Rhinolophus ferrumequinum: one gene and its partner. Each later gene encodes a partner of the first gene's protein in a complex. Links are inferred from orthologs where the notes say so. Each region holds a gene or a part of one and is shown in the gene's direction. Other genes may lie near its edges.

The links.
Region 2: the proteins of SPINDOC (region 1) and SPIN1 are in contact, whole or in part, in a crystal structure (PDB 7CNA), measured with the Homo sapiens proteins. The link is inferred for Rhinolophus ferrumequinum from reciprocal best matches to the Homo sapiens genes SPINDOC and SPIN1. Residues at the interface, in NP_612480.1 of Homo sapiens: Phe256, Ala258, Pro259, Ala260, Val262, His264, Phe265, Thr266, Asp267, Ser269, Phe270, Pro271, Gly273, Phe274, Val275, Leu276, Gln277, Leu278, Phe279, Ser280; in NP_006708.2 of Homo sapiens: Met154, Thr169, Tyr170, Glu171, Pro174, Pro206, Val209, Val210, Leu213, Lys216, Gln217, Val218, Glu219, Tyr220, Thr229, Val232, Val242, Tyr243, Ile245, Phe247, Asp249, Asp250, Tyr254, Val255, Tyr256, Asp257, Leu258, Val259, Lys260, Thr261.

What each region holds. Positions count from the first base shown.
Region 1 is NC_046294.1:7,509,152-7,516,822, reverse strand, and holds the start of SPINDOC (spindlin interactor and repressor of chromatin-binding protein), read left to right. Parts: upstream 1-4,659; 5' UTR 4,660-4,921; coding exon 4,922-5,048; intron 5,049-7,671. UniProt on the Homo sapiens protein: Chromatin protein that stabilizes SPIN1 and enhances its association with histone H3 trimethylated at both 'Lys-4' and 'Lys-9' (H3K4me3K9me3).
Region 2 is NC_046295.1:5,450,593-5,458,570, reverse strand, and holds the start of SPIN1 (spindlin-1), read left to right. Parts: upstream 1-4,964; 5' UTR 4,965-5,069; intron 5,070-5,245; exon of another isoform or gene 5,246-5,375; intron 5,376-7,978. UniProt on the Homo sapiens protein: Chromatin reader that specifically recognizes and binds histone H3 both trimethylated at 'Lys-4' and 'Lys-9' (H3K4me3K9me3) and is involved in piRNA-mediated retrotransposon silencing during spermatogenesis.

The sequences.
Region 1 (7,671 bases):
GCATTAGCATCCTAAGTCCCATTATTGCTAAAGCCTGTCTGTGTCCCTGCCCTTCCCACGATTGGACAGTCAGCCCTTTCTTGAATTCCATAAGCCAATAAATCCCGTTTTGTTTGACCAAAATCCCCAAAGTGTGGGATCTGCAAACAAGCAATTACAGCATGCTGTGCTGAGTTTCTTAACAGAGGTGTTCCAGCTGACTCAAGAGCTAAGAGAAGGGGACCCCCTGACTACATGTAACTGAATAAAATTTCCTCCAGGAGTCCGAGTCTACTAAGTTTTAGGGAATGAATAGTTCAAGCAGTGAACACTACTATGACATCTTTGTTAGGTCATTATTTTTCTTCTTTTGGATGATTTTAAGGAGACTCTTGTTAATAGGATTACTGAGCTAAAGAGCACGGGCATATATTTATTATGGCTTATGTAGACCACTACAAAATGCCAAGTAAGCTAGGAGTGAAGCGACACCCTCCCACACTTAGGTTTCAAACAACCTTCTCCTCATTTCAAGCTTTGTCTAGCCTTATTTCCTGCAGCAGCCCACTCCCCATCCTGTCTCATCACTGAGGCCCTAAGATGCCTCCTACAGTAAAAGCTGTACCAAAAGGAAATGTTTCATCCCAGCTTGGGCGTCCAACCCAGGGGACATTATGGAGAGTGGCCTCGAGCAACTGATTGCTGAAACAGAGGTAATTCATCCCACCTCTCCTATCTCCAGTCCATCCTTCCTGTTTTAGGAATCTCATATTTCAAGGTCAAATTTGTTTTGTTGAGTTACAGACATACTTGTCTGGCAGATCTGTACCCTCTTCCCTCCACATGGGGCTATCTCAGTAATTAAGATTCCAAGGCCTTCCACAAGTACTCATTTAGCACTATGTAGCCAGTGGATGGGAATTCATAATAAGTCCGTCTAAGACAGTCTGGAGTCCCCTTCAGATGCTGGGCACAGAGAGGTCACTCAGCACCAGGTGTGACAGACGAGCCCCACCTCACAGAGGGACAGAATTGCTCTGTGACTTCAAGTCCTTTGATCTCAAATGACTTGTTTCTCTCAAATTCAGTTTCTTTGTGTATATATGAGCTAGTAATATCTATCCTTTCATTCATTTAACAACTACTTAAAGCTCAGCAAGAGGCAGCGTGGTGCTATAGTGGAAAGATCAAGGACTGGACAGAGAGAACTGGAGTTGAGTCCTCCTTTTGCAACTAACCGCATTTCATTAAATCTAGAACATCACAGATTGCAAGATGAACCATTATTTTATGTACCCCTAAGAAAAAAATGCTGCCAAATTCTGACTCAGTGATTTCCTAGCTTTTGGAATTGTGTTTTATGGTTATTAAAAGAGCGGTTAGACTGATATTTTGACATAGATTTTTATTACACATCACTCTGCGTATAAATAAAAATGAAAATGTTAGCAAAATAAATTGGTTAAGGCTGCCAAAGCCCTCTGATCAAAGACCACCAGAAACAAACCTGTAGTCAAAAACAGTAAGGTTTATTTAACTTGCTGCAGTAAAGGAGGATGCACCCTAAGCAAACCTTCATGTATCTGCTTAAAGTTGGGCTTTCATTCCGTGATTCCATGGAGGGATTAGGCCAGTGGAGACCAGTTTTGGATTGAATACTGTTAAGCAGCAGGAGCAATTCAGGGACTGGGTATCTTTATAATGTTTATTTAGCAGGCAGGATTCAAGCAGGGCTAGAGAGATCTTTGGTAAAGCAGCAGCAATCACTGAGAAAGGTGAAGTCATTTCTGTGGTCATGAAGTAGCCTTATCGACGCCAAATTCCAAGCATGGTTTATGTTCTGCTGGTGACATCATGTCTGAATGGGATCCTTCCCAGACCCGACTCCAGTGTGTGTACATGTGTTGGCTTCCCCATACCAAGAAGCAGGGTGTATGAGAATTCAACTCCTGACACTATCTACCCAGAGGTAGAATCAGATTCCACAGGTAAAAGGCACAGTCTCAGAAGATGCCAGTTGGGCTACAAATTGGATGTTCCAATGACCCTCTCCACTTCAGGATACTAATCGAAAGTTACCTGTACTTCTGACCAATGAGCTGTAAATCAGAGGTTCCCACGATCCCCTCCTTGGGTTCGGTTAATTTGCTAGAATGGCTCACAGAACTCAAGAAAACCCATTTTACTTACTAGATTACTGATTTATTACAAAAGATATACATCAACAGCCAGATGAAGCGATACATAGGGTGAGGTCCCAAAGGAACTTCTGTCCTCATGGAGCTTGGGTCCTGCACAGTACCAATTGGAAGTGTTCTGGTTCCCCAACATGGAAGAGCTCCGATAAAGGGCTGCTGAGCTGTCCTTTTTAGGTTTTAATGGAGGGTTCATTACATAGTCAATAATTGACTGAATCATTGGTTATTGGCAATTGGGTCAACCTCAAGCCCCTCTGCCCTCCCAGAAAATCAGAGAGTGAGACTGGAAGTTCCAATCCTCTAACCACCTGGTTGCCTCCTACTGGCAACCAGTCCCCACCCTAGGGTGGGGTCCAAAAGTCACCTCATTCACATCACAAAAGACACATTCATCAGTTGCAACTCTTAGGAAATTCCAAGGGTTTTGAGAGCTGGGAGTCAGGAATGATAAAGACCACATACAAATGAAGATTGTATTTTGACCAGATATGTACTTCTTATAAATCACAATTTGCACTTTCTGAATATCAGAAGGGCCATCTTACACTTCTTGATATTCCTAAAACTTCACATCGATGTCCATAAAGAAACAATCCCCGTTTCAAAGCTGTTCAAATGTGAGGGGAAATGTTCATCCTGGATTTGATGAAATAGGATTCTTGCTGTATTACCTTGCTCAAGTAATTTAACCCTTTAAGCCTCAACTTCCTGCTCTGTGTTGTCGTAAGTTCCATCCAAACCTGTAAGTTCTGAGGAATTCACTGTTAGGTGATCTCGTCGTCGTGCAAACATCACAGAGCGAGCGCACTTACACAAACCGAGGCTGTACCGCCTGCTACACACCTGGGCTTATGGGATAGCCTACTGCTCCTGGGCTATTAACCTGTATGGCACGTTCTTGTACTAAGTACAGTACTAAGTACTGTAGGCAATTGTAAAACAATGGTAAATATGTGTGTATCTAAACATAGAAAAAGTACAGTAAAAATACCGTATTAAAGGTAAAAAATGGTTCACCTATCTACAGGGTACTTACTAGGACTGGAAGTTTCTCTGGGTGAGTCAGTGGGTAAAGGTGAGTAGATGTGAAGGCCCAGGACCTTACTGTAAACTACTGGAGACTTTATAAACACTGTACACTTAGGCTACACTAAGTTTATTAAAAATATATTTTTCCTTTCTTTAATATTAAATTAACCTTAGCTTACTGTAGCTTTTTTACTTTATAAACTTTTAAATTTTTCAGCTTTTCTCTTTTGTAATAACACTTAGTTTAAAACACAACCACATTGTCCAGCTATACAAAGATATTTTTCCAATGATATTTTCTTTATATCCTTCTTCTATAAGCTTTTTTCCCTATTTAAAATTTTTCTTTTTTACTTTTTAAACTTGTTAAAAATAGGACACAGACACACACATTAACCTAGGCCTACACAGGGTCAGGATCAATATCACCGTCTTCTCCCTGGGCGCCTCGTCCCACAATAAGGTCTTCAAGGGCAATAACAGGCCAGTAGTTGCCATCTCCTATGACAATGACTTCTTCTGGAATACTTCCTGAAGGACCTGCCTGAGGTTCCTCTTGAGAAGGTGTCACTCTTTTCAGAAAGCGCTAATCTTATGGGACCATTATGGGACCACTGTATATGGCACACGACTGTCCATCATTCAGTGACTACTGATCCAGTATCATTTTAAGATGGATTTTCAGTGTCGGACATTTTCTCAATTGAACTCTCAGGAGGGCTTCTACAACAGAGGGTGATGCCCACCTGTGTCACAAAGGCAAAAGCTCAGCCACAGTAGAATTGTAATGCATCAGTGTCATGGCAACTGGACTCTAGACTTCGAGCTCTCAAGGATTTCTGTGTAACTTTAGGGAGAGTCACAATCTCTGCACTCACGTTTAAAAACTGGAAATTATAAACATCAGGGGTAGGTTGCTTGTGCCCACCCTCCACTCGACTCTTCATTTTTGCATGCCCTTGTCCAGAATGCTCCCCGATGTTTTTTCAGAGAAAGAATGAAGTAGTCTAAGAAAACATAACGTGTCCAAGATCACAGAGCTGTCAACTCGGGAGGAATTCCATCTCTACTCTTCCCACGCCAAGGCCCTTTCCACTTCCTCACGGCCCCCCCGCTACCGCCCCCTCCAGCCTCGGGCATCTTCTGGCGGAGGAAGGCATGGTCAGGGAAAGGCAAAAGCGACCCCAATCCAAAGCTCTTCATGCCACCAAAATATGCCTGATTGGCATCTCAACGAGCTCGACCCGCTGGGCTCGGCCCAGGATGACCTCGCCTGGAGGAGTCTGGGGTCCCCTATCGCTGGCCCGCGATCCCCTCCTCCACGCTGGAGGGCAGCCGGGAGCCAGCTCGGCCCTTCCCGCCGCCCCGCGGGTCCTGGGATTCTAACGGAGCCGCGTGCAACGGGCGGAGCCGCGTGCGATTGGCCCAGCCGGGTTCGGGGGCGGGTCCGCGGCGGGCCGGCCGGGCGGGAGCCGACAATGAGCCTCCATAAAAGGGAGCAGCGGGGGGCTGGGGCCCCGGATTAAGCCCTCCCCGCTCGGGGTCCGGACGCTCCTGGTGTCGGGGAGGCCCGGACGCGCCCGTCACAGCCCGGCTAACGCGGGGCGGCCGGCAACGGGGAGGGGGCTGCGGGCGGGAGCGGCCGCCGAGTGCGCGCCCAGGCCTGCGCGCTCGTCCTCCAGCGTCCGGTCATCGAAATACCCCCCGGCCGCACCATGGCCCTGAAGGCCGAGGGCGCCGCGCTGGACTGCTTCGAAGTGACGCTCAAATGCGAGGAAGGGGAGGACGAGGAGGAGGCCATGGTGGTGGCGGTAATTCCGCGGCCCGAGCCGATGCTCAGAGGTGAGGATGGGAGGGGACCCCACTTCCGCGTCACGGTCTCGGGCTCGCCCCCCAGTCCCCGTCAGGGGCCCGGGCACCCCCTCCCCACCTTGAGTCTGGTGCCCGGCGCCCCCCTTCCCCTGACGGTCTGGGCCCGGGCGTGCTCTTGCTCCGCCCCACTCGGGTTTGGAATCTCAGGCCTCCCTGAATTCCCCCTCCCCCGCCCCTGTCCAGGGTCTGGAGCCTTCGATCCACGCCCGGCGCGCTCCGGATCTTCCGGTGCCCGAGCGCCCCCTCTCCTGGGCCTCCTCTCCTGGGCGGTGGGATCCCGGGCAACGCCGGGTGTCGGGGGCCGTCGTCTCCTATCCTGCTGAGGCAGGCCCAGGGGCCAGGCTGTGTTGTAGGCCGAGGGGCGGCAAGGCCTCCAGGCCCGAGGCTGAGCGCTGCAGCCTGGTGTCCGGAGCGGTTCCCGAGGGTGGAGGCAGGCGCCGCTGCCTCCTGCCAAGAGGAGATTTTAAGCCCCTCTCCCACCCTCGCCCCGGGCGTAAAGCTTTCATGCCCCTCTTCCATTCCCGGGCCTTTGGCTTGCACAAGCCACAGGTGTCAGAATCTTCAGGGGTGAATGGGATTGCTTACGGCACCCAGTTTCGGAAAAGAAGTGCTTGTAGGGGGACCCTCAGCCACCCTAGAACGAGATTGGCCTTGGGAGGGGATTTGAGGAATGGTCTGGGAACGCTCACTTTCCCCTCCCCTTGGACCAGTTTCTTCAGTCCTCAGAATCTTGCAAACCTTAAGGAAGCACAGGGCCACCTTAATGGAAGACTTGATAGTCCTGAAAATGCACATATCTTTCATTGCCAGATTCCTCTTCTCTTTGGAGGGAAAGTACCTGAGAGGTTGAAAGGAAAGCTGTTCCTTTTACCTCAGTGGACCATCGTGTCTGTCTACACTGCTGCTCACTCTTTTCGAATCAGACGGTTTATAAAACGAGTGAGGGAAATCAAGGCGCCACCCTTCTCTGAGCTTTCAGTCCAACAGAGAGATTCTGTCCCTACTTCTGCTGATATTTATTGAGTGCTGGACGCTAGCTGTCTCAGGCCTTTCAACAACCTGTAAGAGCAGTCTTCTTCCCCACTGTTAGGGATGAGGAGCTAGAAGTCCAGAGAAGCTATAATACTTACTGGATACTTTCTGTGTTCCAGGCCCTGTTTTAGGCTGGGCACGCTAATGGCTATAAACAAAGATGAAACTCTGCTCTTCTGGAATATATATATATATATATTTATGACTGTGTATATATATGACTAAAGGCAGACAAATAAATGCATAGTGTGTCAGGTGACGATAAGTGGTTTGGAGAACAGTAAAGCAAAGTAAGGAGAAGAGTGGAATGAGTCTTATTTGGAATATCGACTGGTCAGGAAAGACTTCTCTAAAAAGGTGAAATGTGAGCAGACTCGAAGTACAGGAGTGAACCTTATAGGTGACCGGATAAAAAGCATTTTAGACAGAATCGTAAGTACAAAGATCCTGAAGCAAGAAGCTTCTTGAAGATTTGGGTGGGAGAGAGAAAGGATGAATTCAAGGTTTTAGCCTGAGCAACTGGAAGGACGGGCTTCCCACTTACTGAGGAGAGAGGCCCTGGATGCAGGCTTGCGGGGAGATTGGGAGTACAGGCTGGAACATGGCAAGTTTGAGGTGCCTGTGACACATTCAAGTGGAGACGTCAGACAGGAAGTTAGACTCATGAAGAGCATGGCTGGAGGTGTAAATATGGGAGTTATCAGCAAGCAGGCAATGGGACAAGACCATCAGAGGAAGAGGCTAGACAGAGAGAGGGTCCAAGGACAGAGTCATGGCACGCTCCAGTGATTCCAGGTTGGAGATGGAGTCAGGCCCTCGTTAGACATTTTTGAGCCACTACATGTGGGGCACTGTTCTTGGTGCTGGAGATACAAGTGTGAAGGATCAAAAATCTATGCTGTCATGGAGCCTACAGTGTAGTGGGGAGACACAAGGAACAAATATAGCACATGCTATGTTAGGTGGTGAGGTGTGCTGTGGAGGAAGTGAAGCAGTGAAGGGGAACGGGGTGCTCGGTGGAGGGGCGGATGCCAGCTTTCTATAGGGTGGTGGTGAAGGCCATAGTGAGAAGACAGTTCTTTAGCAACAGCCTAGAAAAGGTGAGGGAGTTGTGTAAGCACCTGGGAAGAGATGATGAGGGAAGGAAATGAACCAGCATCAGAGACTGAAAAAAAGCCCCAACAGAAGACCCAACAGAAGGTGGTACCTTGGAAGCTAAGTGACAGAAATCAAGATGGAAAAAGTGATCAATCAAAAGATGAGGTTTGAGGGGCGGGCCCGGTGGCTCAGGCGGTTGGAGCTCCGTGCTCCTAATGCCGAAGGCTGCCGGTTCTATTCCCACATGGGCCAGTGGGCTCTCAACCACAAGGTTGCCAGTTCGATTCCTCGACTCCTGAAAGGGATGGTGGGCTGCGCCCCCTGCAACTAGCAACGGCAACTGGACGGCATCCTCTACAACTAAGATTGAAAGGACAACAACTTGACTTGGAAAAAAGTCCTGGAAGTACACACTATTCCCCAGTAAAGTCCTGTTCCCCTTCCCCAATAAAATCCTTAAAAC
Region 2 (7,978 bases), on another chromosome or scaffold:
TGCTAAGGTTCCAGGAACAAAGTATCAAGCCAAAAATGAGTGTGGAGAGAGTACCTTCTGAGAGACAGGATTCCAGAGAGAAAAGTGGCCCTCTTTGACACTTCTAATCCCACTGCTGCCAGACATCCAAGCAGAGAGAGTTGCAGCAGGCCAGTTCCCTCCCGCTTCAACAGGAAGACACTTTAGTGTGGGGTCTACCTGACCTGCGGCTTCCATGGAATCTAGGTGGCCAGACCCCTTCCATTCTGAATGGGAAAGGAGGGGACTCATACCCTAGATGAGGTGGACCCTAGAGAGGGAATTGGGGGAGTGGGGAAGGGGTCAGAAGACAGAGGGCTGGGCTTAGAACTGGGTGTGGCTTCTCCAGGGCCAGCATTAGCATCTTAGGGTGGGAACCTGATTGTTTTACCTAAACGGTTACTTCCCCTAGAAGAATAACTTTAGCATTTATGTTGTGACGCAAACCTGGGGAAGCCATCTAGAGACCACAAAGATTCTTCTGTAGAGTCATTAATGAACCCCTTCTCTTCCCAGGCTCTATCCTAGGCAGTAGAGATACAGCAGGGAAAGGAATCAAAGGATCTGTCCTCTGCAAGGGTGATAAAAGATAAGATGACAAAGGGTGATGAGAGGCTTGGAAAATCTACTGTCACCAATTCCAGCCTCCTGTAGCCAGGAGTGGAGGGGTTCCAGGCACAGCTGACTCTGCCCTTCCTGAGGTCTCCTTACCCCTTCCCCTCTTTCTGGTCCTACTGCTGGCCATCCAGGAAGGCTCTGGATCTTGTACTTCGTCCTGTAGAGTGTGTACCAACATGGCTGTCAATCAGAGAGATCTGGCCCAGCGCCTGATCAGAGAAGAGCTGCCTCTGTCCTAGTGTGCCCACCATCTTATCGGGAGTCACATGTTCGGACTGCTTCATCAGTGTAGCCACAAACATATAGTCACAGGTGGGAGTGGGAGAGCCAGCATGAGCCCCATCCATGAGGGTCAATGTGTTCCCCGTGTAAAAACCCTGAACACTTCCATTTCAGTGACTTTGCCCCCACTGCCTGTGACCAGGCTGTGGGACCAACTCGGGGTGACCCAGGCAGCACTGGGGAGAGAGCATGCCCACCAAGCTCATCCACCTAGAGGTTAAGCCAATACAAAGAAATATCCCTATGTAAGGGGTATACACTGGATTCTGAATACTTTCTGCTGTGTTGCATTAATTGAATAATTATGTAACTAATTTGAAAAGGATTGGTTTCCAAGTATCACATCATGTCAGTAGGGTAGATATACCAGGGTTCACCGAGGGTCTGAGTTCGCTCCACTCCCACATCACAAATGTGTAAGAAAAATACTAAATGGAGCCACTTTAAAATGGAGTTGAGCTGCCATTCCAGAACTGCCTTGCAGTCTTTGCCTCAACCCTTTGGAATGTTAAAACAGGGCAAAATATCCTTTGGACTGGGCCTAAAGCAACGTTATATCCCAAACAACTGTTTGCAAAAACAACCAGAAAGCAGTTATTATGACTACTGGACTGAAAATTAGAAACATTCTTTAGATTTAGCATCACTAATTTAGCTTATCTGCCCCTATAGAAATGCCTTCCTTCTATTGATGTAATTGATCCCCTTCCCTTTCTTATAAATAGCCCTTTGCCTCTGCCTCCTAACCTGAACACTATTTGGGTTTCTGCCTGAATCAGTACTTCTCCAATGGCTATTCTTTTGGATCTCAAATACATGCTCGTTGCCTCACTTTGGCCATTTATTTTTAGGTTAACAAACATATTCATCTCTGGGGCAGAAATTCTCATATTCCCAAGTAGGAACCCAGGGACACAGCATTAAAAGAAGCATCGACCCTACTATAGCTATAAGCAAATATAAATTCCTTCCTGCAGGAAGAAAATAGACGTAGGCCACGCAGACCTAAAATCCAGAAGTCAAATGTGATTGAGAAATTGTAAAGAAATGAACTATATTGGGGGTGCCAAAAAAATGTATACAAGTGAACACTTTGGTCAACGTTGCTGAAGCAGTAGTTTGCCATAATCAGAAGTGTCTGGACGCTGATGGTAACCACTTTGGGCACCTCTTGTAATTGCAGAAGTCAAACGTGACTTGTATTCATCTTTTGTTATCAGTATACAGTATTAAAATTTTAATAGTTTTCCTTTCTTAAAGTGTGTATACACTTTTTGGCACCCTCTGTATATTTAAGTTTCTGGAAATGTTTGGTCAGCAAGTTGGAAGAGAGCAGGGGCAGCCTGTGAAGCTGAAGCAATGCGGCTTACTGAGCATTCTAGCAATTCATGAAATAACTTGAATTCCACTTTTCCAGCTTATTTTGAAAAAAATTAGCTTTTCAGAAAAGTTGAAAAAAATTGTACAATGAATACACATATACCATTGTCTAGATCCCCAGTTGTTACCATTTTGCTCTATATGCTTATCTCTATAGAAAACACACCTGTTTCTGAGCCATTTGAAAGGAAGTTGTAGCCACCACAGCTTGACTTTAAATAATTCAGCACATATCTGCTAATAACAAGGCATGCTCAGTAATAGCCATCACCACACTGAAACCTTTAATTATGATTTAATAAGACTCTAATATTACTCCAAAGTTCTCCAATTGTCCCTGGAATCTCTTTCATAACTTCTTTCCTTCAACCTGGTGTATGATGAAGGGTCACGTGATGATTTGTTGGTGGTCTCCTACTATGTTTGGAGTGATTCCCTAGCTTTTCTTGATACAGTGAGACCTCGGTTTTTGAATGTAATCCGTTCCAGAAGACCATTAGAGTTCTGAAACGTTCGAAAACAGCCGACAGCTAGGCCTCAGGATCTTGAACTCAGTGGAAGTCGTGTGACATGTTTCACTTCTGAGACGTGTTCGAAAACCGAAGCATTTACTTCTGGGTTTAGGGTGTTCGTAAACTGAAATGTTCGTCAATGGAGACATTCGAAAACCGATGTACTACTGTATTGGCTTTTCGAAGAGTTTGGTGGAGCTGTTTTGCAGAATGTACCTCAATCTGGATGTCTGATTTTTACCCAGTGATGACTAGATTCATTTTAAAGATTTTTGGCAGATACACATGGGTGACGTAAAAACCCATTTTTGACAGTCGGTATGCTAATGAGCAAGGCTGCAGAGGGCAGTTGAGATACTACTAGCAGAACTGGTAGTTGTCCTCTGGAGAGCGTGTCCTTTTCTGACATAGGGCTGGCTGAGCTCCCCCGCCTTGATAGCTTCAGGGACCATCACTAGAGGCAACATTTAAACCAGGGGTTCTCAGAGAGGGGGCAGGGGACAATGACACAACACATTCGGCTTTTTCTGGAGACATTTTTGGTTGTGGTACTGTTGGGGGAGTGGGTGTACTGCTGGCATCTAGAGGGAGGAGGGCAGCGATGCTGTCAAACATTCCCCTTGAAGAAGAATTATCTGGCCCCAAATGTCAATAGTGGTGAGGTGGAAAAACCCAGGGAGCCACTGAAGTGTTCCAACCAGCTCCTTGGCACCATTCCTCCTTGTTCCTGAAATGCTCCACTACCTTCTGGGGCATCAGCATTAAACGTACAAACAAAAGTAACAATTTCCCAATACTTCCTAACTGCTAAGTACGATGATTCACTTTTATACGTCTGTATCTAAACTGGCCCTCTAGTTGGCCTATGAACTTCCCGTGCCTGCCACTGCTTATCTGACATGATCAGTTTGAGCAGGCACGTACCAATCTTATTTGGAAAAGAGTGCTAGTGAAATTCCAGAGTATTGCAAACAGGCGTGCTGCAGGTTAGAGTGTACAAAGTGCTTTCTAATAATAAGTCTTGTCATTTACACTGACAACACTTGGGGAGGCGGTGTATTGTTATGGCTGTGCTTTCGCACTTGAGGAACCACGTGGAGAACACCGGCTAGTGGGAGCTGGAGGGAGGGTTGTTGGGAGGAAGGGGAGAGCCTAGGTTGGAAGTGGGGCAAGTTGGGGAAAGGGGAGAGCACCGGGCAGGGGTTGGGGTTCAGAACCGGGATTCAGCCTCCAGGTCCCCCACTCAATCCCGCAAGAGTCAAAACTGTTCCTTCCTCTCTATCCTGCAAACACCCACCCTAACGCTCAAAGGGCTTTTAGGATGAAGCAAAGTCAAATAAGTTGATGCGCGTACGCCTGGCTCCTGATCTCAGGTGAGCCCGGCCAGTACTCCCGTTTGCGGTAGGGGCCGGCCACTGGGAGGACGTCAGGTCTTGCAGAAGCATCCCAGACCACCCATCCGCCAGGTAGGGCAGTGAGAAGGTGCAGCTTGGGTCCGGGCCACCGCGGAGTCCGCGTGGGAAGCGGGCCCGCGGTGGATAGCACGGCTCAGCCCGAGGACGCCGTTGCCAAGGTGTCTGGCCTCATCCTGCGGGCAGCGTGAGCGCCGCAGAACAACTTGCTGCTTCAATGCAAGGACAAGGAGGGCTGGTTAAAGGCCTCCCAATGAGCGAAAACGAAACTTCCCTGGAGGCCTAACTTCCGGCGCCAGTCTAGTCCACCTAGGCTCCTGGGACTACGCGCCCTGAACACCGCCCTTTCCCGGAAAGCACCTGGAGCCTGGCGGCCATGCTCGCCTACCCCGCCACCAGGTGAAAGCAGCTCCAGGCCCCGCCCCACCAGACTCCGCGCCGTCACCCGCCAGGTCCCGGCCCTCTCAGTCCTTCTCCGCCCGCCCCACCTCCAGGTGAGCCGCGCCAGGCTCCGTTCCATTGCCCACCAGGCCTTGCCCCGTCGCCGGCCAGACCCTGCAGAACTCAGTCCTGCCCCGCCCACCCTGCGGCCAGGTGAGCAGCGCCAGGCCCCGCCCATTGCCTGCAGCGCCTGCGCAGTGCAGCCCTTCGGGCCGGGGTCGAACCGCGCAGCCGGCGCAGTCGGCCCGCGTAGTGCGCGTGCGCCGTGCGGCCGGGGGCGGGCGGCGGCGGCGGTGGCGGCGGCGGAGCGGGGGCGGGGCGGCGCCGTCTGGCTCGGTCGGGGCGGGAGCGCGGCGCGGGACGGCGGGCCCCGCAGGCTGCGGACAGCGGCCTCGGTGGCCGGCAGGTGAGGCACGTGCGTCGTGGGGGAGAGGGCGCCGTGAGGGGGGCGCGTTGGGCTCGATGAGGGGCGGTGGCGCCCGGGGAGCGACGGGCCGCGGCTCATTGTCCGGGCGGCGCCTGCACAGCGCCCCCTGCCGGCCGGGCCGTGGGTGGGGGCCTCGGGCCGCACGCCTTTGTTCGCCGCCCCCGCCAACATGGCCGCCGCCCCCGGCTCGGCCGCACCGCGCGCTTTGTTCCGGACGCCGCGGCTGCGCGATCCCGGGGCGAGGGGGGGGGATCGTTGCGGCGGGTGCCAGCGGGGGCGGGCGGGGTGAGTGTTGTGTAACCCAGGCTGGGCTGGGGAAGGGGAACGGGACCCTATGGGCGTGGGAGGGGCTGGAGAGAGGGGGAGGGTAGGCGTCCCCCGGGGCGCGGGAGGGGGGTTGGAGGGCTTGGAGGGAGGGAGGAGAGGAAGGAAGGAAGGAGAGAAGGAAAGACGTGGGGAGGGAGAGGAGAGGACGGGTCTCCCGGGGCGGGGGCGAGGCAGTGCGGGACACTGTGCTAGGGGAGGGACAGGGTTGTGACCCCAGGGAGAGAAGGGAAGGAGTTCTGTGGATGGGCCCCTACAGCCCAGCGCTGCCCTCCTGTCCTCGCGGTGGGCTTTGCTTTGGCGTTCCCCGTGACGCCCACAGCCCCATTTTTCTTGCGGCACCCTTCACCCTAGGCTCCTTCCGCGAGACGGGCGGGTGGCGGGGTCTGCGCACTCACACACACACTTTTTCTCTCACTATGACCTTGAGCGCATTCCGCAGCGTTTGTGGAGATGAATCGCACGACACGGAAACTGCGCAGTGCCTTTGGTTCTGTTCTGCCCGCCTCTCCACTGGGGGTGCGACCCCCACATTACCAGACTGGGTTTTAGTGACGGCTTCCGCAGTAAATGCCACGAAATAGGCATCCCAAGTCTGTTTGCGCAGTTGTTTCATATTTATTTGCTTTCTTTGACTTGTGGGATGGAATTCCGGGTTTTGGAGATGGTTTTTCCTGCATGTTGAAGTGGCAAAGGAGGATTGTTTAGCTACATATCAAAAAGCAACACAATACATCTCAGTGTTTTAAAGGCTTACACTACGTAACGTGATTTCTGCCAAAGACGACATACCTACCAAAATGCGAATACCTATATAACTTTATTCTGTTGGAATTTTCTGGAAGGAACTCTGCAGTTGGAAAGGATTGATAGAGAGTACAGTAATTACTTTCTACGTAGCTTTTGTTAGGAAGTGAAAATTAAACCTGTACTGGGTGTGTATACTAGAACACATTGAGCTTGTGAACAGTCTTAGAGACTGAACTTTTGTGAAATTTCAGTTGGGGTTCAAGTGAAATGAGGGAGGCTTCTCTCAACTCCCCTCCCCCAGCCCTAGTTAATGGGCAAACACCAAAACATTGTAGCTACTAATTTACAGAACGTTTATTATCAGTCTTGATTATATGTAAGATAGGACAGTATGTTTCAAAATTATTGGTAGTTTCTTGTAAGAAACAAAGTAGAATTTCTAATCTTTTGAGTAGTGAAATGGTTACTGTTAAAATGCTGTGAAATGGGTAAGGAAAAAGGGCCTTTAGTCATCTCTTTGTTTAATTTAGGATTTTTAAGACTTTCGATGATCCCAGGAATTCCGCTAAGACTGTTTCTGGCAGTACCTTTAATTACCGACTCAGAATACGGTAACAATATTTACTTAGTTTTAGAATCCAAAACTGTGTTGCTTAAGGTGGCATTATTTGTGACACAACAGACATCCCACTTACGATTTTTCGACTTTACGATGGTGTGAATACAATATGCATTCAGTAGAAACCGGACTACAGATGTTGAAGTTTGATCTCTTCCCCATCTAGTGATATACAGCACCATACTCGGGTGATGCTGGGCGGTGAGCCACAGCTCCCAGTCAGGCCTGTGATCACAACCAGTACTCCACTGTGGACTGTGTTGCCAGTGATTCTTGGATATTGTGTTTTGGGTTTTTGCATCCCATCATGTTTACGAAACACCTATCTTGTGCGTCCTGTTTCTGGTTAGAAGATGAGGAAGGCAGTTACTCATGAGTAATTGCCTAACCTAACGGCCTAGCTAAAGGCTAATGTAAGTGTTCTGAGCACGTTTAAGGTAGGCCAGGCAAAGCCATGATGTTTGGTACGATTGGTGTATTAAATGCGTTTTCAATTTACAATATTTTCAACCTAACGATGGGTTCTTTGGGATGTAACCCCATTGTAAATTGAGGAGCATCTGTAGCTCTAAGAGATGCTACAGGAAAAGGGGTCACATAAGTTTGGGAAACAAAGCTGTGTCCTTTTCTTCTCCCCCCAAGGTCACAATTCACATTAGCACATTAAGGCCTGAGAGAAACAGTGCAGTAATGTTTTCCATATTTGGCCCCAGATCCCTTTTTGTTTTGTTGTTAGTGTAATGTCTATTAACATCCATCCATGAAGTCTAGGTAATGTTGGTCATGGGTGTCCACAGTGCATCTTAGATAATGAGTGGTACTTCTCCTTTAATTGTGAACTGGGAGATTGTTGTGGTTTGTGTGTGACTGTACACTTATGGGAAGTAGTACCTCAAATTTGACTGTTATTGTATTGAGATATTATGAGAGTTATTAATTTGAAGTCTTAACTAGAAGAAATTTAATTACAGTGTTTTCATGTCCCCATGACTTACCTGATTACACAGTTACAACTTCCCTGGATACATTCCTTAATTGTTAGCATTTTTTTCCTGGGATGTTAGAAATACATGAAAAGGATACTGTTGTTTCCGGAATTACTCATGTGGATTATTTAGAGATTAAAAATAATGCTGTTGGATATTTCTTTTGGTTTGGCTGTTAGCAGGACCTTAATTTGCTTAGAAACAACAGT